3 linked regions of the Lepisosteus oculatus genome follow. The protein of the gene in region 1 purifies or fractionates together with the protein of each later gene. This does not show direct contact. Links are inferred from orthologs where the notes say so. Each region holds a gene or a part of one and is shown on either strand. Other genes may lie near its edges.

What was found.
Region 2: the proteins of polr2f (region 1) and polr3d purify together in Homo sapiens (affinity purification with mass spectrometry; 5 studies listed by BioGRID and IntAct, with this or other methods). This does not show direct contact. The link is inferred for Lepisosteus oculatus from reciprocal best matches to the Homo sapiens genes POLR2F and POLR3D.
Region 3: the proteins of polr2f (region 1) and polr3k purify together in Homo sapiens (affinity purification with mass spectrometry; 5 studies listed by BioGRID and IntAct, with this or other methods). This does not show direct contact. The link is inferred for Lepisosteus oculatus from reciprocal best matches to the Homo sapiens genes POLR2F and POLR3K.

The regions. Positions count from the first base shown.
Region 1 is NC_090707.1:38,686,207-38,696,750, reverse strand, and holds polr2f (DNA-directed RNA polymerases I, II, and III subunit RPABC2), read right to left. Parts: upstream 4,385-10,544; 5' UTR 4,239-4,384; coding exon 4,219-4,238; intron 3,983-4,218; exon of another isoform or gene 3,925-3,982; intron 3,800-3,924; coding exon 3,730-3,799; intron 3,562-3,729; coding exon 3,431-3,561; intron 2,822-3,430; coding exon 2,750-2,821; intron 1,766-2,749; coding exon 1,675-1,765; 3' UTR 1,108-1,674; downstream 1-1,107. Other genes in the region: c12h22orf23 (UPF0193 protein EVG1), read left to right, coding at 6,664-6,766, 7,142-7,204, 7,870-8,055, 8,246-8,377, 8,703-8,803, 9,041-9,124. UniProt on the Homo sapiens protein: DNA-dependent RNA polymerase catalyzes the transcription of DNA into RNA using the four ribonucleoside triphosphates as substrates.
Region 2 is NC_090697.1:62,942,084-62,951,609, forward strand, and holds the start of polr3d (DNA-directed RNA polymerase III subunit RPC4), read right to left. Parts: upstream 4,064-9,526; 5' UTR 3,957-4,063; intron 3,847-3,956; exon of another isoform or gene 3,646-3,846; intron 3,054-3,645; 5' UTR 3,036-3,053; coding exon 2,892-3,035; intron 1,814-2,891; coding exon 1,770-1,813; intron 985-1,769; coding exon 830-984; intron 1-829. UniProt on the Homo sapiens protein: DNA-dependent RNA polymerase catalyzes the transcription of DNA into RNA using the four ribonucleoside triphosphates as substrates.
Region 3 is NC_090714.1:15,976,303-15,985,883, forward strand, and holds polr3k (DNA-directed RNA polymerase III subunit RPC10), read left to right. Parts: upstream 1-5,966; 5' UTR 5,967-6,006; coding exon 6,007-6,138; exon of another isoform or gene 6,139-6,191; coding exon of another isoform or gene 6,192-6,302; intron 6,303-7,081; coding exon 7,082-7,169; intron 7,170-7,360; coding exon 7,361-7,488; 3' UTR 7,489-8,018; downstream 8,019-9,581. Other genes in the region: uncharacterized protein, read right to left, coding at 115-262, 498-587, 958-1,339; snrnp25 (U11/U12 small nuclear ribonucleoprotein 25 kDa protein), read right to left, coding at 3,721-3,778, 4,125-4,199, 4,465-4,570, 4,891-4,981, 5,246-5,467. UniProt on the Homo sapiens protein: Core component of RNA polymerase III (Pol III) which synthesizes small non-coding RNAs using the four ribonucleoside triphosphates as substrates. Can mediate Pol I proofreading of the nascent RNA transcript.

The sequences.
Region 1 (10,544 bases):
TGATTGAGGCAGAGAGGCTGGGAGGGGCAGTGAGGCCCGGTGATTGAGGCAGAGAGGCTGGGAGGGGCAGTGAGGCCCGGTGATTGAGGCAGAGAGGCTGGGAGGGGCAGTGAGGCCCGGTGATTGAGGCAGAGAGGCTGGGAGGGGCAGTGAGGCTCGGTGATTGAGGCAGAGAGGCTGGGAGGGGCAGTGAGGCCCGGTGATTGAGGCAGAGAGGCTGGGAGGGGCAGTGAGGCCCGGCGATTGAGGCAGAGAGGCTAGGAGGGGCAGAGAGACTGAGAAAGAGTGGGATACAGTCAGCAGTTCGAAGTGACCAGGAGTCAGATGGGGGGGGTTTCTGGATGCATGAGACTGGTGGAGAGGGAGAGGCAGTCTGGGCTAATTCTGCCCGTCTATGAGGAAGGGAGGGCGTCTGGAACACCAAGTTCCAGAGGAAAGCTGGAGTGACTCAACGCTCTTGCTTCAGGTAAAACAAATACATACACACACACAGCAGTCCGTGCGCACGTATACAACAAGGGGATTGGGTTACCGTTTCGAGACGAGAGCGATTTTCACCTTTCCGAGCGAGAGGCAGCCAAGCCTGTGCTGCCAGCCTGCAGGGCGCCGTGCCAGCGCGGAGTCGGGCTCTCGGCACGCTACTCCGCCAGCAGGAAGTGGACGGGATTGGGGGGGGGGGGGCGTGTTCCTCATTCCACCCGAGAAGGGGAAGACAGAGGTTCTGACACTCTGTGATCATTAAACATCCCAGGGAGTTTCTCGAAAAGAGTAGGGGTGTTACCCCAGTGTCCTGGCAAAATTTCCCCCCTGGCCTTTACCAGTCATGGCCTCCCAATAACCCCCCTCTCTGAACTGGCTCCATCACTCTGCTCTCTTCCCCACTGGGAGCTGGTGTGTGGGGAGAGGACTGGAGCATCATGGGAAACCAGAGGTCACAGACCCAGACTGGGCAAATCCCTGACGGACACGATCAGAATCAGCAATCCAGTTCTGGAGCGCTTAATTGCCAATTTAGGAGTCTCTCACATCGGCAACAAGTCCAAAACCCCCTGTGAAAGAAACTCCAGAAACTGTACCAGTCGTAACATGAAATCAGGGAATCGCACCTTAGGAATTTTGCCATTTTTATTCCGATAACAAAAAATATACACATTTTTACAAACTGTAAATCACTGAAATGCACAGGAGAGCCGAGCGCCAGACCTGGTTTTCTCTGAAATATTAACGCCCCCTGGTGGAGCTCTGTGGCCACAGCCGCCATCCAAGTGCACAGCAGAAGGAAAACTGGAGTTAAAACGGGGTGGGGTGTCCACACTGCGGGATTGGAGCTAAAACCTCACGTGATGTGATGTGATCCAAGCTCGGACTCTCACATCATTCCCGAGCTCCCTGCTCGGCCCGTCAGGAAGACGTTGTCCTGTCCTCCGATCCCGCCGGACGAGGTGACGGTACTGACCGGTCAGCCAGTCAGCCCGGCTGTCTGTCCCGAAGAGGAGGGTCTGTGGCTTCCAGGAACTGGGATCAAATTCCCGGCCTTTCCCGCCGCCAGCTGCCGTTCCTCTTCGGGGGGAACTCCGCGAGCCAGGAGGAGGAGCGGGAGGGGAACTGGAGGAGGCGGGAGGAGGGGTCAGGAACGCGGGGCCCGGCCCGGCTCCGCTCGGGGGCCGGCGCCCCTCAGTCCGTGATGATGAGCTCGTCGCAGCCCCAGTCCTCGTAGCTGCCGTCCGGGAGGTAGCGCCGGATGATGATGGGGATCTTCCGGCTCCTGTGGGGGCACGGAGACGGACCGAGAGCCGTGAGGCGCGGGCACACACCCCCTCTCCTTCGAACCCGAGGCCACGCGACCCCCAAGCCTCCCCCCTTCACCCCCCTCGGAGCCAGCGACCCATCCTGCGCCCCGTTTACGTTTTCTCGCTCTTCACACAGTGGGGGGATTTTACTGGGGCCCCAGACCCGAACCCCAGCCACTGCGAAGGGAACCCCAAAAACAGCTCGCCGGTTTCTCCCCCGCCCTCCTCTCACTCAGGACAGAGGAGGGGACGAGGCGCAAGGAAGCAAGGCTCCCGATCTCCGGCCATCCCGGAGGCGCCCCGACATTCCCGGCCCCATCACCCGGAGAGCGGGTGCCGGGCTCCGGCGGCCAGGCCAGACGGCGACTGCAGGCAGACCGCGAATCCTGAAAAATCCCCACATAGCTGCGGAATTCCCCTGCGCCGCTCCGGGAACGCCTGGCACTCGGGCGCGGAGACAGGAGGCGGGAGGGGCCCCTGCCGCCGTCCGCTGCCATGGAGACGCACGACTCTGGAATACCCGCCAGCCACAGAAACCCCCTGGGAATTTCACACACGGAGAGACAGGTCACGGAGCCGGGAAGCCGAGAGTCCGGACTCCGGTGCTTTTACATCACGCCGTGGGCCCACAGGCCTCCACCATCTCCCAGGGAGCACACAGACGGGCTTACTGAGCCTACGCCGCACACAGCAAGGAAGCGCGGTTCCAGACTTCCTTTCTACGCCAAGAGTGTTGGGTGTCTGGAACTCGTTTCCAGGCCCCGTTGAAGACATCTCCCCCTCCAGGGCTGTTCAAGAAACAGCTGGGTGAGATCCCTACCAACTATTCGTTATGAGCAGCCTAACCTGCTGGGTGGGGAAAACGACCTGCTCTCGAGTGCTGCGTTCCTTCCACCCACCCTGGTGGGCACAGAGTAGAAACACCTGTTGCTCCTCCTCCCCCTCCCCCCAGCACTCACTTCAGCTCCTTCATGGCGATCTGGAGAGGGTCCGTCTCTCCTTCCAGCTCCACCATCACGGGGGCACACATCCTGCCGAGAGAGAGGGGAGGGAGGGAAGGCGTGAGAACGACACTGCCTGGAGAACACGGGACGGTGCGACGGACTGGATTCCTGCTCCACCCTCCCGCCCCTCTTTGTGAAAGGAGACTGCCGCGCGCTCTCCACCCTGGAGCCGCAGCGACACCCACAGGAGCGAGACCGGGAGGGGGGGCCAGTTTCGAGAACCACCCCGCTGTCGGTCTCTCTCTCCAGATCAGCTCAAGGCAGAAGCAACAGATCAAGAACTCCGCACGGGAGTCCTTTCCTGCAGGAACAAAGTTCTCCAGGGACGCAGGGAGTCAGGGCGCGGCTCAGGGAGGCGTAGAACTGAGGTCATGTGGCGTACGGGTCCCTCTGTGGACCCCCAGCGCCGCCATGCTCTAGAACCCTCTTATTTTCCAGGGCGCCTTTATAACCCCAACGCAGCGCCGGCCATCCTCGTGTATGTCCAGCTGGCCAAGACTGAGTCAGCCGAACTGGTCACACTCAGAGTCAAGCAACGCTCTGTCCAGCCCAACGGGGAGACGTGCAGACCGACCCGGGACGGGGAGACGGGTCTGGACCAGGGGAGCTGCAGACAGGAGACGGGTGGCCACTCACGCGATCTGCAGCGCCCGGGTGCCCAGCACCCTGGCCCTCTCGTACTTGGTCATGTAGGGGGTGGTGATGCGCTTCTGGTTGGCCTGCTGGCCCTCCCCTGCTGGCAGGATCTGCACGTTCTCCTGATCCTCCTGCGGACAGGGAGAGACAGAGGGGTTCACACCACAGAGAGAGAGCGGGGTTCACATTATAGAGAGAGAGGGGGTCAGGTCACAGAGAGAGAGGTGGGGTTCACGTCACAGCGCCCCGCTGCCAGAGAAACAGGGTCCCAAGACAAGGCCCAGGTGAGAAACACTCACATCCTCCGGGTTCTCCAAATCGTCCAGCCCTTCATCCTCCTCGACATCGTCGAAATCTCCGTCGTCGAAGCTGAAAGACAGGGAGGAAGAGGAGGGTCAGGTCGCCCCGCTGCAGACGGGCGCAAGCCGCCGGGGGGGCTGTCCTCAGGGGCTGAGGAGAAGGGGTTTGTGGGTCATCCGGCTGGGAACGTCAGAATCAACAGGGCGAGTTCGGGGCTCAGGACCCGTCCGGCATCGTCTCGTCGGACCGCAGGTAAGATCGATGAAGCCCGAGAGAGAAAACCTGCAGCCTCTTAACGCCACGGAGAAGGCGGCCAGGGGAGAACCAGCTATCAGAATAAATATTTAATAATCCAGCTGATGTGGTTCAAAATCTGTCGTCCATCTCACTCACATACGCACTGATCTCGGGATTCGCGGAAACTGCGAGCTACACGGACGGTAAACACCCCCGAATGAAACCTTTCAGAAACACGGGGATTCGCTTACTTGTCCTCGTTGTCAGACATCTCTCACCCGCAAGCGTGAGGAATTCAGAGGAAAACTTGCAGCAGTATTTTAAGCAGCCGAAAAACGACTAAACACACTCGGCACAAACAACCCGCCTCCTCCTCAGCACCACGCCGTCCTCCTTTCACTTCCGCCCCAGGCAAGACAACTTCCGGGTCAAACAGCACAGTTGCTGTACTGTCAGTTTTCTGTTAATGACCCGGATTTCTTCTATTGATTGCGGAATTTTCTTGAGAGTTTGTTCAGAATAGGGCATTATAACTGCTGACACAGTAGTACAAATATATAACACAGTTAAAAAATGACATTTGTTACTTTAACATAACAATATGAAACTTTTAGCATAATAAATGCCACTTTTCGAAGTAAAACGTACCTAATAACAGCCTTTTACCAAACAGCATGTGAAAATATTTTCAAAGCGATTAAAGAAAATAACTGATTTCATACCATATGACCTATTAATACCCACTAGGTTCCCATTACTGAAAGCTTTATTTATAAACATTAAGAGAAAACATATAACAATAGGCGACAGCAGACGAAATAACATATAAATGCCTTAGAAGAGAAGTCTGTGGAACTCGGTTACTTTGCAGGAACAATTTTCTTTAACAACCTGTTTCGGGTGGCGGCGGGGAGGGGTCATGGCGTGACGTCAAGGCCCCGCCGTTGCCATGGCAGCAGGGCTCGGCGTCCTGGCCGGAAGTCGCGCTGCCAGGCTGTGTGCGGACTGGAGACGATACCGGGTGAGATGTCTGTCTTTCTGCAGTTCATATCAGCGGTTCATAAGCTCGTGTCGGGGATGATTTTCAGGGTAACGCTTGGTGCAGCTTGCGGCCGTTCTCCCGTCCTGCACAGCATCACTGTAGCTATAGGAGAGGCAGTGTAGCTATTGCAATTCAAACCATGGGGCGATATTTATGAATACACAGTTAATAGACCAGAATTGCGTGAGTGAACGTAGTTCATAAGTATTCAATTTGCAAATGTCTCACAACAGAGGGTGGTTACTGTAATTATAATGTTCTTCTCCGGAGTGACGCTCTACACGAAATGAATGTTAAGTGAAAGTACCAGAAACAGTCACGGGGGTAAAATGAGAAATAAAGTTAGAGATGACTTCAGTTTAGACCGCCCAGATTCAGTAGAACATCTTTTATTCCCACGGCTATGATCCGGCTCAATGGGGACAATTGGATGTACATTTTACCTCATATATTTGTGTTTTTTCTCATTGTACATGAATGTCTCTTATTTGTTAATGGGTTTGTGTTAAATTGTCTTACTTGCCTGCAAAGCAAATTTCCCATCTGGGACAATCCAGTAAGTACAGGAGAGGGAGGGGAGTGAGGTCATAAACTTCAGGACAGGGGTACAGGGAGTCTGGGGGTACAGGAGCAGTGGACAGGGGGTACAGGGAGTCTGGGGGTACAGGAGCAGTGGGCAGGAGGTACAGGGAGTCTGGGGCTACAGGAGCAGTGGACAGGGGTACAGGGAGTCTGGGGGTACAGGAGCAGTGGGCAGGGGGTACAGGGAGTCTGGGGGTACAGGAGCAGTGGCCAGGGGGTACAGGGAGTCTGGGGGTACAGGTGCAGTGTGCAGGGGGTACAGGGAGTCTGGGGGTACAGGAGCAGTGTGCAGTGCAGTGGTAAGAAACAAGCCTGGGGAGACGGGAACAGGACAGAGAAAGGGCTGTTCCCTGCAGCCTCTGGAGAGGCAGCTTTCTGCCTTCACCCCCAGGCGCTTTCACTGGGACAGTGATGACTCGGCAGCCTGCCTCCAGTCCTGACAGCTTTATAGCTCGTTCGCTGCAGAACAGACACCTTTTCCAGCTATTATACTTTACCTGTCCCCCAGTTTTAGCCACAGAGAGATCTTGTTGCTCCAGAGGCTTGGGCACGAGGCCCGGTATTGTTCCTGTGTTCTTGGACTGCTCACTGCTCCCTTCACCTGACTCGTTTCCCAACAGTCAGCTCTTTCTCGGCACGCAAGCTCGTCCTGAACTCTGCTGCATGTTGAAAGTTTGTGCTGCGCACAGCAAGTTAAGGGCGGCACCTTGACGCAGCAGGTAGCATTGCTGCTTTCCAGCGCTGGGGCCCCGGGTTCGATCCCCGACCCCGAGTGCTGTCTGTGTGGAGTCTGCATGTTCTCCCCGTGTTTGTGTGGGTTTCCTCCGGGTGCTCTGGTTTCCTCCCACAGTCCAGAAAAATGCTGGTCGATTAACTGGGTACCAGCAGAACTGGCCCAGGTGTGAGTGTGTGCGCTCTGCGATGGACTGGCGTCCCATCCTGGGTGTATCCTGCCTTGCGCCCGGAGCTTGCTGGGATAGGTTCTGGCTTCCCCAGGGCCCTGAATAGGATAAAGGAAATGGTTGTGTTGTCTTAACCCCTGTGTGCTCCTGTGTGCAGGACCCTGCGTCTGATGTCCTCCAGAGACAGAGCTCAGCTCCCAGGAGCCGGGGGCGGCCTGTGGAACTGCCCCCGTGTGCCCCAGTACAGCCAGGAGACCCAGGAGCTCCTGAGAGGCGAGTGTCCCGAATGTGGGTCCGAGTGTGTGTCCCCCGGCGTGTGCGTTTGCCCATTCAGTGCTTGAGGGGGGGCGGGGCGTCGGTGCTGCGTCACAGCTGCAGACGGCAGGACAAGATCCCAGCTTGCCGCCTGTCTGCGTGGAGTCTGCATGTTCCTCCACGGGTTGGCGTGAGTTCTCAACGTGGTGCTGTAGGTCTCTGGTTTCCTCCAGCCTCCTGCAGTGCAGGCTTGGACTATAGCATAGTGGAGCCCAGAGAGTCTGGGACGGTTCCGCCGTCGTGGAGAGGAAGGTAGCGTGATCTGATGGTGTCTGGGTGTGCGTGTGACCCCGGGTCGGGGGGCCTGACAGCCTGACTTGTGTCCTGTTGCAGTGATGATGCAGGAATCCCGGCTGACCCGCTTCCAGGAGAGACAGATCGGCGAGAGGCTGCAGAGTGAGTCCTGGAACCCGCCGCCGGCGGGGACTGTCCCGATCGCGCGACTCGCCAGACACGCCCTGGCATACCCTCCCACAGGCGTGCCAGGATCTGCGCTCCTCGTCTCGCCTGAGCTCATTACCTTTTCCAAATCACACCCACCCTGAGTCACGGGGGGGGGGGGTGGTTGTTTTTAAACACGACTCCTGAACGGGGTCCTGCGGTTCCTCTCTGGTGACCCCTGTCCGACCCCGCGGGTGGGCAGAGCTGGTGTTCACGCCGCACTCGCCTCTGCGCAATGAGGGGCTTGGGTCTGTTTTCTAATAAGTGAAAATGAATTATTATTATTTTATGTCATAAAATGTATTTTTATTGGAAGAGATTCATAACCTATTTTGCACGCTCGCATTGCAGAACTGTGTTTGTGAGAATCCGTCTCCGTGTGCGCACGTGTGTCTGCTCGCCCCGAGAGGAAAAGACAGTGATCGATTTCGGGTTCTGGTCAGGTTCGGGCTTCAAATTAGGCAGTACCATTCGGGCTCGGTCGGGTTGGGTCTCAAGGTCTCGGGTAGGGGGCTTCAGTTTCATGCCCGTGCAGACCTGCAGTGACATCTACTCGTCTTCCACGCTGTGGTTCAGCACGGTTTTCATGCACCATTGCTGGTGTTGCTTTCCTCTGCCAGAAGGGGGCGCCCTCCCGCCGCGCTGTCACCCCACCTCCAGCGAAGTACCCAGAGCCCCAGCCGCAGCTCCCAGACCCCAGCCAAGGGCAGGCCCGAGCCCCGCCTTCAAGCCCCAGCGGCGCAGCGCCGAACAGTGTCAGGCCGGGGACAGCTACCAGAGGGAGAGGTTCCGCCCCAGACCCACACGTGAGTTGGCCGCACCCCGCGAGCTACAGCACCAGAACCGGGTCCAACGGTCCAGCGGTCCAGCTGTCCAGCGCAGCGGCACACAGGGCAGGCCTGGGGCCTCTCCTGGCTGGGCTGTGCCCTGCAGCGCAGCAGAGCGCAGAGCTCAGAGCTCAGCCGTGCCCTCTCTCTCCTCCTCTTGAACTCCCAGGAGACCCGGAGAAGGAGAAGAGGCGTCTGCAGAGCCTGCTGGCCACGGGGCGCGAGGAGCCCGGTCCGCCGCCCCCCCTGCCGGCCGCTGCCGGGACAGAAGCTACCCCGGGGAGGGATCGCTTCCAGGAGGGTGAGGAGGAGCACCGACTGGCCCGAGCCAGCAGTTTGCATGGTTTGCTAGACCTCTCCATCGCTTGCCTAACCTCTGCTTTCCATAAAGGGATCTGCCAGACCAGGCAGTGATGATGTGTAGCAGTCCCAGCCAACCAAAACATGGATGCAAAATATGAAAAAGTCACTAATACCCATATAGGGTCTTCCCTTTTTCATCACCCTGATCACATGTGCAAGACTGTCCCACGCTGGAGCACTTCTGATTTGTAAAAGTTCGATTCAGTGTTTCAAGAATCACCGCTGCCGAGAGTCTGACCCTCCGCGTCTTCGTCCCGTCTCAGTGCTGGACGAGATCGAGGAGAGACGGCAGTTCCTGGAGGAGATGACTGCGCTGGGAAGAGGGAAGGAGTACCAGACCATCATCAGCACGGAGATCTCCCAGGTAACAGAGGTGACGCCGTGCTGCTGACATCATCGCACCGTGTCATCGTGCACGGATCGTTGCAACACACCGATGACATCACCAGCATCAGATCACAAGGGTCATCAGTGCAGTTGGAGAACATGTAGTGATGTCATCAGCATTGCATCACTCGGGTAACAGAGCTGATGGCATCATCAGGGGCGACATCATGAACACCGTGACACTCTGTGAAATCCCGTTTCCTCTCTTCCACAGAAAATCCGTGAGCTGGAGCTGATCGACGGGGCTCGGAGCTCGGAGCTGAGCGCCCTGAGGCAGAGGGGGCAGGAGCAGCCCTGAGTGAGGGGGTCTGGGGGGTCAGCTCGGTCACCCCTTCCTGCCACACAGGTCTGGAGTGGACCAGACAAGCTCCCTCAAGGTGTCATGACTTATTCCCCACAAATAAGAGACGTGCGCTCAGCTCTGGACCTTGGGAAATTTTCTCCCGCTCCACCAACACAGACAGTGGTCCGGCACGCAGCAGCGCCACCGGTGAACACAGTTTAGACTGGACTGGACATCCCACTGAGTCACAGCTCCCAGTACGTGACTCTTACCCTGTACTGTGAGCACAGGGGTCACTTCAATCGGGGGTCCTAGACCAGTCAGTCTGCTCTTTGTCTAGACGTATCCTTACACACCCTCATACACAGACCGACAGGTAATGGGCTCAAATTCTCTTCTTCTGGAGACACCGAGATGTGCGTGAGACACCCATGAATGGACTGCAGTGAATGACCCAGATACGGTTCATGACAGAACACAAAATTGATTAAAGATTTAAAACACAACTGCTATGCGTTTCATTAAGTTAGTTTATTTGGATGTTCTTGGGTAGACAAGCTGTGTTATGACTATTTCTGACCCTCTGAAAGAAGCAGACACGGGCCCAGGCAGGCAGAGACAGACTGACAAACTCCCAGAACTACGCAGAGCCACACCCGAGCTCCGACCGGGCGAACTGGGCCTGCTGTTCGCAGTACCGGTTCTACTGGGCATTGGTCTCTAAATGCACATCCTGCAGCTCAGCAGCTGTAGGGCACTGACCCAGATCCAGGTGCTAACGTGCAGGTATTTACAGAGGACAAGAACGCGTTCCAGGATTTTCGAACCCGGTCCGTCTGTGAAGTGACAGGGTATCTCAGTGCTGGGTCCGCATGCACGCTCCCACACCGCTGGGGCTACGCTCTGTGCTGCTTCATCCAGAAATCCAGCTCTTTAAGGCCACAGTTATTACTCAACACAGAAATCCAAAAAAAAACAAAAAACAAAAACACAAAGGCATCTTTAAAAACGGACATTAAATATTGCATAACCAGGACTGAGTGCTCTCCCTGACCTGTGACCTGTGACCTGTGACCTGCTCTTACACCCTCTCCAGTTAAAAAAACAAATTCACGGCCTGTGCCTGCTGACCTCCACGCAGGCCCTGAACACGTCCCATACAGATACAGTGTACTGTGCATCGAGCGCGCCTCAGTGCGGGGTCGTCTTGTTCAGTGAAATATTGCCCTCTGACCTCCCAGAGGGTCCAGTCCTGTCAGCTGTGGTTCCACAGTTGGAGCCACAGTTGGGCTAGGCTGGGCCAGGCGGGGTCCTCTGCCCACACCGACCCGGGGAAGTGGGTCACACAGCACTTTGGACAAACTGCACGAATAAATCCCCCCTTCCTCTCTCTCTCTCTCCACTTGGTTGTTCTGCGTTTGTCCCTGGGGCCGTG
Region 2 (9,526 bases), on another chromosome or scaffold:
TTTGGGAATTCTTTGGGATTACATGACATTCTCTTACCTTCCACTAGGTGTCACCATTATAAATCTATTAATTATCCATCCACTTACTGCAATAACTGCATCTTCTAATTCAGGGTCGCGGGGGAGCTGAAGTCTATCACGGCAAGCAATGGGCACAAGACAGGGCACAATCTGAATGAAGCCAGTCCATCACAGAGCAGACATGCAAACACTCACAGCTAAGGCCAATTTTCTGAGAAGCCAATTCATCTACCAGCATGTTATTGGACTGTGAAAGGAAATTGGAGCACCCAGAGGAAACCCACGCAAACACAGGGAGAACACACAAACTCCAAACAGACAGCACCCCAGGTCAGAAAAGCCATACTAATCACTGTGCCACCATGCCACCCACTCCATTATTTCAAAATAAAATTAAAAGAAAAAAAACATAAAATGAAAATTTCTGAATTCAAATATTGCTTTTTTGCCCAGTAACAATGCTAAATGCCACAGACTGTATATACATAAACTCATCACTCATTAAACAAATTTTGCTTAAGAGTAATTTCTTTATATGTTCATGAAGGGGCATTTGTTTAAAAAACTTGTGCACTGATTTTTTCTAGTTTAGCTTTATCACTACCACATTTCTAACAACATTAAAACTATTATTACAGCCAGGTTGTCAAAGGACTCCTCATTAAAAAAAAGTAAAAAAGAAAGTAGGAGCAGAAAAGTAACTGAATGCTTTCTGAAATCAAACCAGACAACCAGAGAGGTGTGCACTTCATAGCTAAGCTCTCTGGTATTCCTGGGAGTACATGCAAAGAGGAGATGCCTTTCTCACCCCTCTTTTTCATCATCATCTCGGCAGGGCCTTGCTCAAAAATGGAGTGGGACTGAATGATCTCAGGGCGTCCCCGACCCCTTCCTCGCCCATCCCGCTGACGATCCCTCTCTCTCTCCTTCCTCTCCTTCTTCTGGTGGCCCTCCACCTTCTGCCTGTTGGAATGCAGAAATGCAGTGGTGACATCATGTACCCAAACACTTCCCAACACACAGTAAAGAAAGGATTTTCCTCCCTTGTTAATAGTACCAATCTCCTCCACTGTCTAGGCCTAGGCAGTCCCTCCAAGCAGCAAGAGAGAAGGGAGATGGATGTGACAGACCGAGGGGTAAAAGGAACTTGTGGGTTTGTATCTCAGAAGCTCTGCCGTCTGTCCTCCAGACAGCAGATATGACCAACCCTGGAAGCCTTTGCTTCCTGCTTTTAAACTGTTGTATGACCACCTCTCTTACAACAACTGTTCAGGTGACTGAGGACAGCAGCTCTGTCCCCCCAGTTTATTGGGTCATGTAGTCCAGATAAAGGCTGCCATCTTGTCTGAACTTCCTGCCCTCTCACGCCCTGCATAATTCATAAGTCCAGCCTCGCAAACAATGCTATTTTGGTACTGGCTCTGTTTTGTGGTTGTCATTGTAAAATCACAGGCTTTTGTGGATAGATAGACAACATGCACATAGACACTGGATTCACTCTAACCAAAAATGTTAAATTATGCTTGCAAATGCAAGTTTGCTACTAGACTTGAGTCTTTCTTCATGTTTTGCTAAGCTTTTTAGATTGAAAAAAAAATGTAATACAGATGAAGTACTTAAAATATACAACAAACCAGTGAAGGCTGATCTGACTATAATATTTTTTTTTTCCATTTAGGCCTAGTTCTCATTATGAACTCTGTGGAAGAGACCTAGTGGTACTTGTCTATAAAAGATAATTTACTTACTCTTCCTTGGCTTTGCGGCTGATGATATTGGGGGTGAAAGTTTTCTGTAAGATACAGAAAAAAAGACACTGATTGGGCCTGTGACATCTGAGATTTATGCCATCTAAAACTCATCCAACAGCAACCAAATAAAAATGGGACAAATAACAAAAGTCAAAAGTCTGAATGCTTGAAAGTTTAGAAATTTCTTTAGCATTCCTGGTTTTCCGGATTCTTAGGCAACAGATAGTACATGTGACACTAAAATTGCCATGCAGCATTTTTATAACAGGTAAAATATATACTATGAATGTTCAGGTATTATGCGAGATCAACACTAAATTACCAGTCACAGTCACCTATTAGTAGACTAATATGTAGACCTAGATCTAGTTGACTTTATGTTCTCAACCTTCTTTACCAGAAGGACATGAAACAGATTTTTAAACTCATCAGAAAAACAGTTTAATAATAATAATAATAATAATAATAATAATAATAATAATAATAATAATGTTTCTTTATTAGCCCTATACAATTTCTTGCATTAGGAATTCGTCTTTTCGTATACCCCAGCTTTTCTCCATGGAGACACAGACACACAGACAGGGAGTGAAGCTTGGGGTCAGAGCGCAGGGTCAGCCATTGTACGGCACCCCTGGAGCAGTTAGGGTTAAGGGCCTTCCTCAGGGGCCCAACGGAGTAGGATTCCTCTGCCAGCCGCGGGATTTGAACCGGCAACCTTACAGTCACAGGCGCAGATCCTTAATGTTCCTGCTTTGCCCCCTCACCCCCAGATGCCAAGTGAAGCATAACAGGACACCTCACAATTTTTTTAGCGTCAAAAATATACTGGTCGGAGAAGTGCAAGACACTGCATATGACAGGCTTACCCCAAAGATGCCTTCAGCTATTTATTCAGAAAACTGTTGCAAAGCAACTGGAATATTTCACTTGCTAAAATGTTGCAAGAAATATTAAAGTTAGTATTTTGATTAGCACAGCTCCACTCGATTCTACTGCACCTACATTAACACATCCAAGAACTTCATCAGTCCAGATGGCACTGCACCTCATAAAATCTGTCTCTGACCAATCTGCTATGTAATTGGGGAGCTGCATGCTCTGTCTATTCACTCCTACCTTCTTCACACCCCCCAGGGTGAGGTCGCGAGAACGCATGGAGGGCAGGCGTCCCGTCACAACAGGGGCAGGGAGTCTCCTTCCGGGCAGCGCAGGCCGAGACACCCCTGGGGGCAAGGGATCCCCACCACAAGGGTCTGACATCGCTGCACAATCACACCACTGCAGCAGAGAAAAGATGGAGAATAAGAGCGACTGAGAAACAGGCGTGAGGAACTCCTTACTAACAATTCACTTTGCCACAATGGCACCATTAAAAGAAATGACCAGTCGCTGAGAAAAAGGGGCTCATGTGATGCGCATCCTCAAACACATCAGTGTGATCCACGTAGCACAAATTCTAATTTGTACTTAATCTTTAGAAAAATATTTATGATGAAATTTATAGTCAGCCACTAACAGGAGAGGTCTGTAACTCTAGTTCTGAAAAGCAACAAGGATAATCGATTGGGCAACTGTTAAAAATGAGGCAACTGACCGAAGACGTGATCTTTTAGTTAAAGTGAAACTTTCACTGAGACTATTCTCCTGGCCTCGTCCTGTCCAGGACTAGAAAACCTTACAGTACCATACACTAACTTCACTCCGCTCTCTTCTGCGGAGCTCTTCGGCCAACGAAAGAGTACTACACGAACAGCAAATAACGTTGTGATGAAAATTTTAAAATGAATTCGCTTTTCGCCATCTACTTGAACTCGCTCGATCCTGTTACATATACAACAAGCTGGCTACACATGTAAATCACTTCATTTACCTGAACTGGAAAGAAAACGATAAAGACTTCTCTTCCAAATGTATTTCAGATACAAAACCAGTACAAATGATACTGAAAATAAATCGTCACCAGCTGAAATGCACTATTTTTGTCGGGTTTTTTTTACAATCTGAGTCACACATACACCTAACTCATGCAAAAACCACCATGACAGACTGATGTTGGACTTTTCCCTTTGAACTTTCACCTTGCTCGCCTGTGCTAGCCACCATGTTTGTAAGGGCAATGTTGTTTCTAGAATAGTTTTGTTCAAATTACACTACCGTTCCGCTGCTGAGATAAGGTTGTACCTTTTGAAGTTAAAATTCTCAGCAATTTCGTCACTAGATCACACAGGTTGCTCAGGTTGTGTATCTCATCAGAAAAAAATTGAGCAGCCATGTCGGCAAACCAAAAGAAGAGTTGTTCTTTCAATGAAGTGGTATGCAAAATTTCCTCACTCTTGTATGGTGCTGCCACCTAATGTGGGGATGTGTGAATCGCCTTAAGGTCAAGTAAAGTTTCCTATGAAATACGTTTGATACTGTGTAGGAGATCTATATTCCTATGTTTACGATGTGTCCTACTATATTGTTTTGCATTATACAACGACAAATGTACACTTCTACCTTGTAATATTTATGACATTGTAATGTTTATTATATATGCACCTCTTATATATTTGTTGTAACACATATGGCGTGTACCACTCTCTAGAAAATTTATATAGCACCTTGCCAGCAATGAAGCCAAATTCTCTTTAAAGACTATTCAAGGTTTTGTGTAGACCACTCTGATTAATGTCAGCAAGCTGACACACTTATTGTAGTGCACAACAGACCAATCGATGCAGAGGACCAAGAGTGAAGGTCCAGACAGGAGTATCTAGTCACATCTATTATTATTATTATTATTATTATTATTATTATTATTATTATTATTATTATTATTACTTCAGAACTCTGTCTGACAGCAATCTAACTGATTAAGTCGTGGGACCCCACTTTCCTACTGCGTTTCCTACAGGTACATCCTGTCTTGACAACATTCCAACAGGACAATGTATGTCCTCAAACTACTCATATAACAATGGCTTTCTGGCAAGGTGAAAATGTGACTGTAACGCCTGGGATTCCCACACTAGATGTGAACCTCATTGAACGTTTGTGCCCAGTTGAACAGAGACAGTTATAGATGATTGTTGAACTGGAGTTCAGAGACCAGTGAACAGCCATGTGGCTTAAAGGATCTGCAAGAGGGATTGGCACAGAATCCCACAAGGCCATAACTGCAGCCTTGTGATTTTGCTTTGCTCTGCAAAGCATGCGTCACAGAATGTCAGCTTGTATGGTCTGTGGCCACACACACTACTAGCCTGTGAGTTTTGCAGTACAACCCACTCTTGGTAGCAAATGATCATCAGAATAATTAATTTACCTATGTTTCTGGAAAAAAAAGTCAGCACATTTAAAAACTATGCAAATTTGTTGTAGTTATATGTGATAACTTCATTTTCATTGTCTTTATATTTATTTTCAGTGTGAATCTTCCATTAGTGCTCTTTTTTGTCTTTCACTCATTTCCTGATTTTTAACTATTTTTTTAAAAAACAGTCTTAGTGGATTTCCTTCAATTAACAGATTACTGAGTCTTAATTTAATGAAACCTACTATCATTGATAAAATGTAGGCAAATTGTTGATAATAGTATGTAATGAATGCAGAGGATGACAGAAGAGGATTCAACTATTATTACATTATAGTAATATGTTGTCTACTGTCTTTCTTGTGTTATTTACAAACATAAACTATAAAGAATAAAATATAATGAAAAGTCAGAATTGCAATACCTAAATAATCAGGATTTACACACTTTGGCCCTCAATGATAATCTGCATCAAGGCTACAGTATGTTTTTGCAATCTAACACTCCACATTATCTTGATACCCATATTAAGGTGCCTATACACTCGTTATGTAATTTTCTAGGCATATATTATTATGATGATGATGCAAAACAAAGCCCTGCAGGTTTAAATTATGACACAGAAAGCTATTCTGTTAATATTCTACTACTGAGACATCATAATTGTATATCATAATTATCTTTCAAATGTTCGTATTTGTGCTTTGCAATGCGTAGAGCGTATTGTAGCCACCACACATTTAACCACAATAAGACTAATACCGCATTGCTTGCTAAAGACCTGTTCGCCTTACTCAGGAATCAGTAATTTAATAGACATACTGTACAGTAATTGTAGGCACAAGTATTTGCGAATTTCAACATGTTAGAAACTCAGACGCTGCCTTATTTCTATGACAAGAACAGGGCATTTTGACTGTTATCCGTGGTTTATCGTTCAGCTATTCATCGTTTGTCTTTTTAGCCCAACAACAAGCTCCAATGTCTAATTTAGCCACTTGTTTTATAATGTTCTAGGCGGATTAATTTCGGAGCTGCCGCAGTGCTAATAGCTGACGATCCCTGTCGGTCCCAATCTGCACCACGGGTACAGACTGCAGACAAATTCGAACTGACTGAGTCCAAGGATCTCTCGCCCCAGCTTCGCCCTTGCCTTCCTGTCACGGCCGTTCAAAGACAGATGGTTTAATTTGCCTTTGATGAGTTCGGTGTACCGCGGCCGGCAGGGGAGAGATGAGACATTGCCGAGGTTCAGCGATGTTATCACTTGCGGCTGGATGGTTATGCTGAACTACGCTGTCAATAACGTGAGCACGATTGCCTATACGCTCTCTTGAGCACATCGCTGATAAACTGTTATCGTAGCGAATTTTTATGGTAAAGTTTACACAGTGACTCCAAACTACACCCTAGATTAATCGCTATTCCCCCTGCATAGACGTGCATATTGCATTACAATCAGAAACAGTCTATGGTCAATAATAATAATAATAATAATAATAATAATAATAATAATAATAATAATAATAATAATAATACAAAACAATTCTGATAATACCATTAGAAGAACCATTATTGCTATAAAAAGATTTTCTCAGAAAACTGTCTTAAACCATTTTGAGTGGGCTGTCAAATCGCCGTGCGTTAATTTGAAGTTATTTGTAGTTTGAGTAGTTCTCCAATCACTTACATTCAGTCTTTCTCAAAGCACTTGTACTTGGTTTTCTTATGACACGTAACCTGTACTCTGTTGGTTGTTTGATCTTTTGCTGTTGGAGATGTAGTAGGGAATGATGTTATCTGAAAGGAGCTGAATTACGGCCTCAGAGCCCCAGTACATGGGATTTTCCCCAATTTGGATATACTTTGAACAGGAAAAGAAGGCAGAGAAGAGGGACACAGATAAATACTTCATAGAAAAACACCTTACAGCAACACACATATTGTATCCAATGCAATACTGGCCTTAACTGTAGCTGAAACTAAGTTAACTGTATGGATTTTGAGTTTCCTATAGAGATCTCCATATGGTGTAGCATCTGGTTAGCCTCTCAGGACTCTGGCAGTGGAGCCTCTAGCCTGGACTGAATTTGATTCAGGCTGGGTCCACATTTATGTAAAAAAAAATGGGGTACCTGTTATTCCTGCCCACCACTGATATAGATTATCTTTCAAATGCTGATAAGATGGCAGTTTTGGACAATAAGTACAAATTGCATAATAGTGTTTGTTATTTTGTTACCTCTGTGTTATAAACTGTTATAAGGTTTATCTGATACTGTAAATATGAGCACAGGAGAGAGCTCATTGGCTCATTGGCCAGGGCACTGTGAGTGGGGGTGGTGGTGGTGGGGGGGGGGCATTGATAGAGGTTAGGGGAGCTGTTCTCTTGATTGTGTGCTTGTATGTGCGTGTGTACATGTTTATAGCAGTGAGATTGGTGCAAATTTGGGCAATGCAGCTATGCAGCACTGAAGCACGCAGTGTTTTGACAGAGCTGCTGGGCAACTGAGAAGGATAGTGAAATAGAGAGAGAGAAATACAAGGCTCGCTTCACTTTGTAATCAGTGTTCCTGAGGGATCCATCATCCACTACAGACGACGAAAAGAATTCACTGCGGTCTCTCTCAAATCAGATCTGAAGAGTGGTTTTATTTCAGATCAGGGCTGACCACATAATCTTTGCTGCACGAAGGTAAGGAATTAACAGTCCCCCATCCTTCTGGCACTGATCTCATCCAAGGGTAACTTTCCATTTACAACATCAAGTTTGTGTAAGGTTAATTAGTTGGGCTTGAGTAGCTAATGTGAAAGTTAGTGTGCTTGTTTGAGTAATACAGAGTGTTAGGTAGCAGGATGTTTTGTAGTGGATGTCATACGCAATGTATTTCAGGAGCTAAATGTAAAAAAAAACTGGACTGCAGTATGTTCAGTAGCTCTGAGAGCATTCTGTGGTACAGTGAGCTCAGTAGAAATTGTTGAAAGTGTTGGGTTACAGTGTGTTTAGCATCTCCACATTCAAGAATTCTGGTCAGCAGTTTGTTCATTGCCTTGGTCTTGCTGTGCTGAAGTTTGTTGAGTAGATCTGTCCTGGAGTTCTGTTGTTCAGAATGTGGTAGAGTGCTGAGCAGCTGCATGTTTAAAATCTTCATGAGCAAGAGCACTGGGCAGCAGTTTGATCTTAGATTATTGCTCTGCAGTGGGTTCCATAGCTCAGTGGTTTTGTTTATTGTACTGCAGTGGGATTGAGCAGTTTGGTGATCATTACATATCATTCAGTAATGCAGATATGTGACTTATCTGTGATGTTATCTGTTTGTGTTCTGAAACCATCCAGCAAGTTCCATTTGTTGTTTACTTCAGATAACTCAACTCTGCGAATAACGTATTGGATTATTTTATTCAAGATTGAATCGAGAAGCCAGAATATTACATTTCCACCAACACATATTTTTTATTATTTATATTGCTTTTTTTTACATCATGAATGTTTTTATTTTTTCCTTTTATAAAAAAGGGAGCAACACGCGTTAAATAAAGGAACAAATATGTAATGTGCATGACCTTTTGTAAATGTCTGGTATAGGTGTCATTTAACATCTGGAAACAGCCAAGCTTAGAAGTAAAGTACATGGCAAGGTGTTTGTACATGAGAACTAATATCCCTGGAGTATTTTGAAAACCAGTGGCACTGCTCATCTCATATGCTGAGCTTTTATAATTCTCTAATTCCTTTCACTTCACTTCCCTGCAAAGCCAAGCGATGTGAAGGACATACCTTGCTCTCGCTATAGTCTAGTATTGTTAATTCAACTCAAAATTTAGAAGTGTTCTTCTATTTGTATTTTTATAAAACAATGTATCAATCAAGGTATAAAATATACAAATTTGTGAATTTAAGCATTTTTGTTGAGTTCTACTTAATTATCAATTTATGGTGTAGAAGGCATCAGTACTATTTACAGTGACACTATATAAATGTGCTTGTGTATGAGTTTGCAGTATATATTGTAATAGGACATGGGCAAGATGATAGAAGAAGTGTACTCTTAGCCTAGAGGGTTAAAAAGCATCTATTCCAAGTAACCTTACGGGATAAAAGTTTGTACTCTTCCCATGTAACTCGGGACAACATTTCCCAAAAATAAACTTGAAAGAGTCTAATTAGCTGAAACCCTTTGTTATGAGGCATAGCACAGTTATTTTTGACTGAAGCTGTGTCTCAGGGTGTAAAAGCACAAGACAAAAAAACATCTTTCAGTCTTTTGTTGTGAACTGACTTTGTACTGGTGTTTTGTATGCCAAAGGAATGTTGGGCAGAAACCGGGACTAAAACTTGGGTTTAGGAAATGCTGGTTTGTAGTTATTGGGTGGCTAAACTACTTTCTATTCATTAAACACTTAAGATTGGCTTGAGAACCAAAAATGTAACCATGTAACTCACTTCTTTTCAGTC
Region 3 (9,581 bases), on another chromosome or scaffold:
CTGATTTTTTTTTACTGATACGCCGTAAACGTTACCCAGGCAGTGGGAGTGAGGGAAAAGGGGGCAAACCGCTGGGCTGTGGGAGAACAGGCGGAGAACGGGAGGTGAACGTACCCAAACAAGATGGACATGAAGCAGACCATCCAGGCCACGCTGCCCACCCTGGTGAAGACCTCCGTGGTGATGAACTGGTGGCAGGACGGGCACTGCGTCTGGGACGCCTGAGGGGGCAGCATCTCCACATCAAAGATGACGGAGGGCGCTGAGGACAGGGCCACACACACGCACACCACGTCATTTCGCTTCGGCACAGCGGTTCCCTCGAGGGGAGGGGGCTGCACGGCCCCCCTCCTCCACCTGCTCCGTACAACCGCCCCAGGCCAGAGCTGGGCCTGGCCGCGCCCCGAAAGGAGGGGAGCCCACAGGACGCGCCCAGACATGGGGGCCTCGTGCTGGCCCGGCGGAGAGCGGCCGGCGACGGGGGCGCAGAGTCTCACCTGGCGCGGGCGGGGGGGGCGGCACGTCCGGCATCTCGCTGCCCAGGCGAGGGAGGACGAACACCCCCATGCCGTTCAGCTTGGAGACCGCTGGCGGAGACACAGAGAAGAGCAGGTTTCCGGGGTGCCCAGCGGCAAGGGGAGAGACCCCTCGAGACTCGGAACGGCAAGTGAAAACAAGCCTTCTGCACCCCAGTGCACTGTACACATTGCTATTTAGCATGCTCAAGTGATGAATAACCTTCACCCAGGAGACATGAAGATCTCACCCCTGTTCCCCACAGGTGTATGGGTGTGTGTGATCCACAGGTCAGTGCAGCTCTCTGCCTCCGAGACCCACCAGGAAACAGCCAGCTGCTGCTCTGTCCCCAAGGAACGCTTACTTTCCCTAAGCTGGACCGGACTGGGCTGTATTGTCCCTCATTCTCTGTGCTTAAATTTCGGGGGAGGAGTGCCATACCTTGTTTCTGACCATCTGGGTAGAGGATCTCTTCTTTCCTGGCAAGGAGATCCTCCTCCTTCTCCGAGAGAGCTTCCAGTTCCTCCTCGATCTCCTCCAGCTCCGATTTCTTCCCCGATCCGTCTGCTAGACACCAGAATGCGTTATTTGGACACTGAATGAACAGTGGCACGAGGACAAATTTAACAATCGGCCAAAGCACAGCTCGGGTCTTGGCAAGAAACCTGGCTTTAAAAGAAAATCGGCGGGCGTGTGTGTTGTTAAAACAGCGGGTGCCGGGGGCCGGGGACCAGGGGACCTTTCTTCTTCCTGCCAGAAGGGGCGATGATCTTGGTGTCCTCCTGGAAGCTCTGCAGCATGGACAGCAGCGCTCGCCGGTCATTCAGCTGCTGGGTCTTGAGCTGCAGCCGCCTCAGCTCCTGCTCGATCTCCTGCAGCTCCTGCAGCTCCTGCGGGCTGGGCATGCTGTGGCCACCTCCTGGGGACGAGACGAGGAGCTGAGGGAAAACGGAACGCCGAGCACAGGCCCCTGGGGGCCAGCAGGCTGGCCAGCTGGTTACTCTACCTCGGGCCGCGTGGTCTCACTGCAGCATCGAGCTCAGCAGGGCTTTAATCACAGGGCCCAACATCCAGACCTTCACTGCTGACACAACTCTCCCCCCACCGCGCCCCAGGCAGTAAGAGAAAGAGCAAAGCTCCCAAGCAAACCCTCCTCAGGACAGAAGGCGGACCAGCTTCAACAGGACGTTGAAACCGCGGCGCAGAGAAGAGGCCAGGCAGCCACACTCCGCTTCCAGCCTGGGGGTCGATGGACTTCTGCTCCCGCATTGTTCCGATCAGGGTCGGGCACACCGGACAGGATGCCAGTCCCCTGCAGGGCACACCCATGACCCTAACCAGCAAGTCTGTGGGAGATGAGAAAACTCACCCCACCCCCAGGGAGAACACCCGAAAGAACTGAACCCAGGACCCAAGAGCAGCAGTGAATTGGCAGTACTAACCCCCCCCACCCCGGTGCCAGCTTTCGAAAGTACAGGTTCGTGCCAACAGTGTGCATACCACGTTAACCAGCAGAAACACAGCAAAAAAATCTATACGTACATTCACTGGGAGGCAGATGCAGTTGTCTCAAGTCCATTGTGAAATATAAATACGATCAAATGATTTTTATTTTTGCACTCAAGCAACATATAAGCACACGAAAAGCTTAATTAAATGTATTCCCCAATTCTCCACCCTTCCATCGTACTGTACATCTTCAACAGCGCTTGATTTAATAGATAAAGATGTTTCCATTGCCCAAGACTTTAATGTTCTCAAGTGTTAAATAACCTTTATACACAAAAGCTGAAGATCTCACCTCTCTTCAAGCCAGGCGAGAGAAGCTTGTCTGTGCAACCCGAAGCTCAGTGCAGCTCTGCGACTCCAGGAAATAGACACCTGCTCTTTGCCCAGTATAGAGAGGAGAAAAAACTGTTGCAAACACCATATTTAAAGTATGTGGTATAGTACAGTGTCCTTAACACCTTCACTTATACTTTAAAACGAGGCATGAGATCAGTAAAAACAATGTTAGTATACACATCTTCGGCTGTATAACACACTGCTATATACATCTATGCCCTAGGAACCCCCAAATCCCACCAAATCCCTGTATATATGAAGGATGGGGAATTCAAAGAAGCATCTAATTTGTTTGCTGTAATGTTCACTGAACTGTAAATACCACAGGGGACAAAGGGCCATCTCATCTGCCCAAACCAGGGAACGTCATTGAACAACGCACACTCAACAAGTGGAGCACTGCAGTTTTTTAATGCGGATTTTTCACTTGACAATTTTTTTTTACACAGAGAAATCAATGTACAACCATCTACAAAATGTGAAAAAATACAGTTTTTTATGAAATCTCTATAAAACAAACCTAATGACACAACAGTCATACAAAGCTTTCTCAGTGTACAGAGCTGAACGCTGGAGTGAGCAGAGGTGTATAGCTCTTCAAGGGGAGTGAGATGATCCTCACAGCTCCGTCTCTGCACACCTAAATCAACAAAACGTCCAGAGAATGACACGCTGACATTCTGTTAACAACACTAGCTTACCTGAAACAAACTAGCACTTTAAAGACAGCAAGTCATGGAGTACAGGTTTATCTTAAGTGGGCTGAACTCCGTTCGTTACATCACTGGGTGCAATGTGTTTAACATTCTGCGATACATAATCCACTAGCGTCACCGAGAATTCAAAACAATGTCGGGTTCTGATGTCGGCGATGTAAAACTTCAAAAAGACTCGTAAATCAGGACACACAAACTGCCGGGGCTTGACCAGCACAGTGAGCGCACAGTCGCCATTATAAACTTTCAAAGATCTGATAGACATTTCCTTACAACACTTCATTTTGCATCTTTCAGATTTCCAGAACACGGCTCTGTATCGGTCATTTGGACTGTGAAAAAGCCTTAGAAAATGAGTATATAAAGGCTGAATCAATTCCTCAAGCACAGTGAAGAGAACTAATTTGAATATGAAGACATATATTCAAATGCGGTCTACATTTGAACTTTTTTTTTTGGCTTGGTGTTATTTATAACCCGGGTACCAAACAGGTCAGACTTCAGGAAGCAAGGCACCAGTAGCACCTCAGAAATGCCTGTGTTGCATGCATCCCACAGGGCCGAACTGAGCGTAGAGGAAAAGGAACCCAACTCGGGCAGAACTTCTTAAGTAACTGGTAAATCTGTAAGACGCTACCTTGTTTTACTTTTTCCTCAGTTTCTTGCCAAAAGTCACTTCATCTCTGTTCCTTATGCCGTAACTGTGCAAAGAAAAGAGAGAGAGTTTTCAGGACAAAGCTCTGGGGTTCCACACAAAGAACTCTCTCTGAGCAAACCTGAAAGTGAGGTTATTCCACACAGTTTTACCTCTCAACAAAATAACACAATCTCCACCCCCGCCTGCTGCTGTCTCCTTTAAAACCCAGTAGCAACAAAGCACCTGGGATGGTCTGGTTCGAATGAGCCCTAAACCGATCGGTTATCTGCACATCGCCACATTCTGCGATACATAATCCACTGTTGTGTCCCTCGCTTCACAGCTCACAGAGCACAGACACTCACACTCATCAGCAATGCCAGGGAAGGGGAATGTTTGTTTTTACTTACTCCTTCAGCTTCATTTTGTCGTCTTCCAGCTTCTCCCCGTTGAAGATTAAGTGATAGGTTCTCCACACGTACCTCCTTGAAAAGGCAGAAATCGGAAAGGACGAGCGATGAAGTTTACCTCGCACAATTACGCACAGGATGTGAAAGAAAGATCAATGTTAAAATGACCCTACAGTGATGTCTGACTTTAAAGTAATTCACGCTTCAGCGTCTTATCCCAGAGTTTTTACAAAAAAAGCATGCAGGATCTCTAGTATTTGACCATGTTGTCAAAAGGAAAAATTCCCCCGACTCCAGTCTAGACCGTTTTATTGTATTTTTCGACTGCAGGACACTCTACCAGCTGATGTGCTTCACCCCTCCTTCACGCTGCTGTTTCAGCTCCAGGTATCTGCGGATGGCTTTCTTCAGATCCAGCACGGAGGCGTTCTGCACCACCACGATCGCTGCAAGAAAGCACCGCTGTCTGAAAAAGAATCCCTCCTCTCATTTTCAAGTTTTCTTACGATCTTTAACTACCTCAACCCAGAGGGTCGATGAACCTGTCCTACACGCCTGTACTGAGTAGCTTAAATCACTCCGGAGTCGCTTTCACATCTTGTGGTTCACTAGTGACTGTGAATTCAAACAGCTGACAGCCACTGGGCCTGACCAAGTCAGTGACCCAACAACCCCACAGAGAAGCATCTGGTTGCCTGATTTCCTGCGGATCATACAACAGGTTAAGAGGGGGGAAAAAGCCAAGAAACAAAAACTCGTGACTCACGCATGACCTCCCCGTCGGCCTTGCAGACACGCACAGTCATAGCCTGGCCATACTCCAGAGCCACCTGAGAGCTCACCTCCTCCAGAGTGACCTGGAGTGACAGAAAGCCAGGCAGGAGGGTTCAGCTGTGGAACGCTCAGTCCCGAGTCCCAGAGGGTCGTGGGTTTGAAGGGTTTCAAAGTCATATTGGGTTATTCCCCCACCCCACCCCAGCTTCACAGCTTTCACACTTTTTCTATGCTGCAGCCACACGTGCCCTCCTGTTTCATGTCAGACAGGGATTGCTGCCAAATCTGTCTTGCTGGGTTACACAGCTTATCCAGGATCCAGAAGCCGACGAGGCAGATAAACCAACCTGTATCGGCAGGTCGCAGAGCAGGGGGTCCTGCACTATCTGAGCCAGACCTTCCTCGAAGATGTCCAGGAACTCCGCGTGGGGCAGGGCTTCCTCATCTTCCTCTTCCTCCTCCTCCTCGACTTTTTTGTCCTCCGTCTCTAGCTCTCCGGTCTGGTCCTCCTCTTTCACCGCCGCTCCTGCACCGAGACCCGGGGAACCTGTCTCCACCGCCTCGGCCATCAGCACTCGGGGGGATGAACACACAGCGGGGCCGAGTAGACCTTAAAACAGGCCCTCCATTCAAACCCACACCGGCGGACTGCAATGAACAGACTCTGTGTGCAACATGACAAGGGGTCATCACTCATCACGGCCAGACGAGAAGAATTTTAAATCAATGCTTAATGGTTGCACTGAACACAACTCGGTCTATCATGAATCAACTAGATCAATTCTGACAAGTATATTCACGTCAAGTCCAGTTATTGCAGAGTATTCATCACACCTCCAAAGAAAAACCGCCACCTTTATAAAATGAGACGCTAAATAGCACTCACCACTGCTTCTCCTCCGCTGTCTTCCAAAACGGACGCTTAAACAATTCTCGGGTCCGTTCATTTTCACTTCCCCGGAGAAACTAGGCGACTCTTGTACCTAGGACACTGATACTCACAAATATGGAATATGCCATAGACAAAAAGTAACCTAATACATTTATACATTACCTAATATATTTCTGATTTGATAGTGGTTTAAACTGTTAACAGTTTCGACCACAAATGCGACTCGTTTGCAGGCGCTGTGGGAACTGTCTGAGTCAGGAATTGTTTCCTAGCGGACACTTAAAACTGCGTGACACGGGAGAGTTTGCGGCGTGCAGTTTGAGGAATTCGCGAAAAACTCGTCTTGAGGTTCGAAGACGTCTTTTTCAACAAATACAGTTGTTTTTCTTCTGAGATAGGAGATGTTGCTGTTCTGTCCGACCTGTGGAAATGTCTTGATTGTGGAAGAAGGGCAGAAGTGTTACAGGTTTGCGTGTAACACCTGTCCCTATATACACAACATAACTAGGAAGGTAAGAGAGTCGACAAGGCTCTTGTTACATTGCGTAGGGTCTCTATCATCGTGCCTGAGTCGTATACTTTAGTATTTTAAGACGTTTGTTATATTTTAATAATTGCGTTTGCTCATTGGGTATAGATGCGTCACAAGCAAACATATTCAGCGGTCCAAATTATGATGCAGCTTTTTGCTAACATTGTGTATCATTTTGGATTCATTTCTCTTACATTTTTTCCCCACTATCTCGAGTCAAGCGCAGTAGTTGGGCTGTACCCCCCCCCAGTGGCTGAATCTTCCTGCTGCTCCTCCTTCACGGGGGCAGCCGAATCCTGCGTGAAAGTAAAATCGTTTAATGAGTTTGTGGAAACCTGGTTTAACCCCCGCCCACCCTGGCTGAGGGCTACCCTCCCGGCCATGGGGCGAGGAGACTAAGACCCCATGCCCGGTGAAAAGGTGACCAAGGTGTAGTTGCACAAGCAAAGATGGGGATGGAGGAGTAGGGATGCGAAGCGAGCGAGGGAGACAACAGAGTGGCGTGGGGTATATATGGGAATCTGAGAATTTATGGCAGGATTAGTTGCGTGTGGAGTTTAATTAGTTTAATTTAATGGCGCTATGCGTGCGCCTCCGAGAGTATTCTCATGGGCGAATGTCACCTGAAAAAAAAAAAGACCATCGGGACCCCTATAATCTGGGCGAAAGGTCTAGAAGGTCTGCAGGGCGGGTGGTGCTCTGCGTGTAAGACACCCGTCTTGCTCGTCTTCCTGACGCAGCGTGTTCTCGATGCTGTAGGTCACCAACAGAAAGTACCCCAAACTGAAGGAGGTTGATGACGTTCTGGGCGGCGCTGCGGCCTGGGAGAATGTGGATTCCACTCCAGGTAATGTCACTCGAGAAAGGGGAAAACAAATCCCCGTTTTTCGTTATTCGTTGTCTAGTGCAAATGTGCCGTGGGCCAAAGATGGGGAAAATCCCGCATTTTTCCCGAGGTGTCCAGTGGTGCGAGTCAGGAAGTCCGGTGCCAATCCTACACCATTTTGTCATCTGCTACCTCTGGTGTCTTCTTTCCAGAGACCTGCCCGAAGTGCGAGCACCCCCGGGCCTACTTTATGCAGATCCAGACCCGTTCGGCAGATGAGCCCATGACCACCTTCTACAAGTGTTGCAACCAGCAGTGTGGGCACCGCTGGAGAGACTGAACGCCGCAGGGACCGGCCCTCGCCTCGCTGTCTGATCCCCCGCTGTGTGTTAAACCTCTTAGAACAGGCATGCTGGCCGTCCCCCCCCCAGGTTAGCGGCCATCGGAAATTCTCATGTGTACTCCAAGTGAAGGAGCCATGCTAAGTTTTTGAACAAATAATTAACGGTCCTGTGGCATCTAAAGAATCACTTCGTTGAAGTGATTCAGGATCCCCAGCCGAGATATAGCAAAAACACCGTAGGGCTGCAATTGAAACATGACACTTGTCTGTCTTGAATATTCCCAGGGAAGTTCTTGGTGTTGGATGCTGAAAGGGCTCTGAGGAATGAGCAGACAGCCTGTTCTGTGCCAGACAGACCTGTTGTGGAGTAGCTCTGGTTGTAGTCGTATTAAGCTATTTAATACGTGTATATATTTGAACAAAGTTCACCGCACTGAAGAGATTACCGGGTGAAATATGAGAGGAAATGTGAAGCTGTCATTCTTTTACAGGTCTTGAAGTGAGCAGAATAAAACTGTGTCGAGTGATCCTGTGTTCAAAACCGCTGGTCATTCAGAACCAACATATTCTTAGAAAGCTAAAGGAAAGAGGCTGGTTCTCGCTTTGCTTTTTGTTTTTATTGTTAAAAGAATAATTTAGTATCCAGTGCAGTAGTAGTGGAGCAGCTCGCATGGCTCATCTTACGCAGCAGTGTAATTTACATGGCAACACAGATAGAAACAGAGAATACCGGTGACTGGATTGAAGGTGATCTCATTGTCTTTTCCTAAAAAAATACTTGTGCACTTCAACCCACCTTTAACATCACAGCCTTTCCACAGCACTGCAAGCCACTTCACATTGCGTACAGAGAGGGCTGGAGCGTACAATGTCAAAGGAGGCCAGCCTGCTTTTGCAAAATATCCATAAGAAGCTCGAACATGCACTGCCATGGGACATTTACGATATATCATCAATTCATTTTTACTAGCTGCAGCCGATAGGCTTTTTCAGACTTTGAAACATGCTAGGTAGTTAATAGCATAGTTTAAAAAATAGAAATATACTGGAAATAAACATACCTAAAAAATGTAATTAGAATGGAATAATTAAGGTCTGAATGGCCGACAGAAGCAACAATGTATTTTTCATTGAGTGCTTACTGGCAGGTGGCTCCACGGACAAACCACAAATCTTTTTCTTTACCACATTCAAAAGGTTTTGCACCCTGCAGTGTTCCTGCTTGATATCATTGGGCATTTGTGAAGAGGCTTGATCCTTGACACTTGGTCAAAGTTGCGTAATCCTGCACATTGGTGGCGGTGGAGGGGAGTCCCCATTACCTGTAAAGCGCTTTATAAGTGTAAGCAATTATTATTTTATACCAGGAAGCAGAGTTTCATCAAAACAGCTACTTTGTGAGTGTAGTGAAAACATTAAGAAAAAATGTGAAATGCTACATATGTATTTCACCCAGACATAAGCAAGAACTTAACGCATTTCATACCATGACTTGTGGCAGTCAGACAGAACCAATAAAGTTATTCCTTAACAGAGTTGGTGCTTGGAATTATCTTATTGGTCTAAATGTCATCTAATTTTATGGCGAAGAAACTACTGAAAACCCTCTTTATTCAACACACTGCATAGGACTGGAGTGAAGAACACGTTTCCTATCTCGCGCCTGTGAAGAACATGCATCTGTGCTAGTCTGCAGTGATGCAAGTGGACCCGGTGACAGCTATGTGACACAGCATTGTGCAAGAAAGATTCTGTTAGCGGAATGGATCAGAGGCTCCAGAACAGCCGCTTACAGTACACTAGGTGGACACAGAGGTAAGAGCAGCTGGCGGGTCGTGCTGGTGTATCGCTGTCATCATATCCAGAAACAACAATGCTGGAGCACAGGGCTAAAGCAGCTTTCTTCTAAAACAACTCAAGGATCACAGTCCTAGAAACCTAGTCTTTGTCCTGGAAAGCATGTCAGAAAAGCACTACAGAATCTCTCTTTCAGTGATAGCAGGGCTAAAATAGCTCACACTTTTACTGCACTTTCCCAGTGGCAGCATGTAAATTCATCAACAGTGAGTGAAAACAAGCACACTGGGACT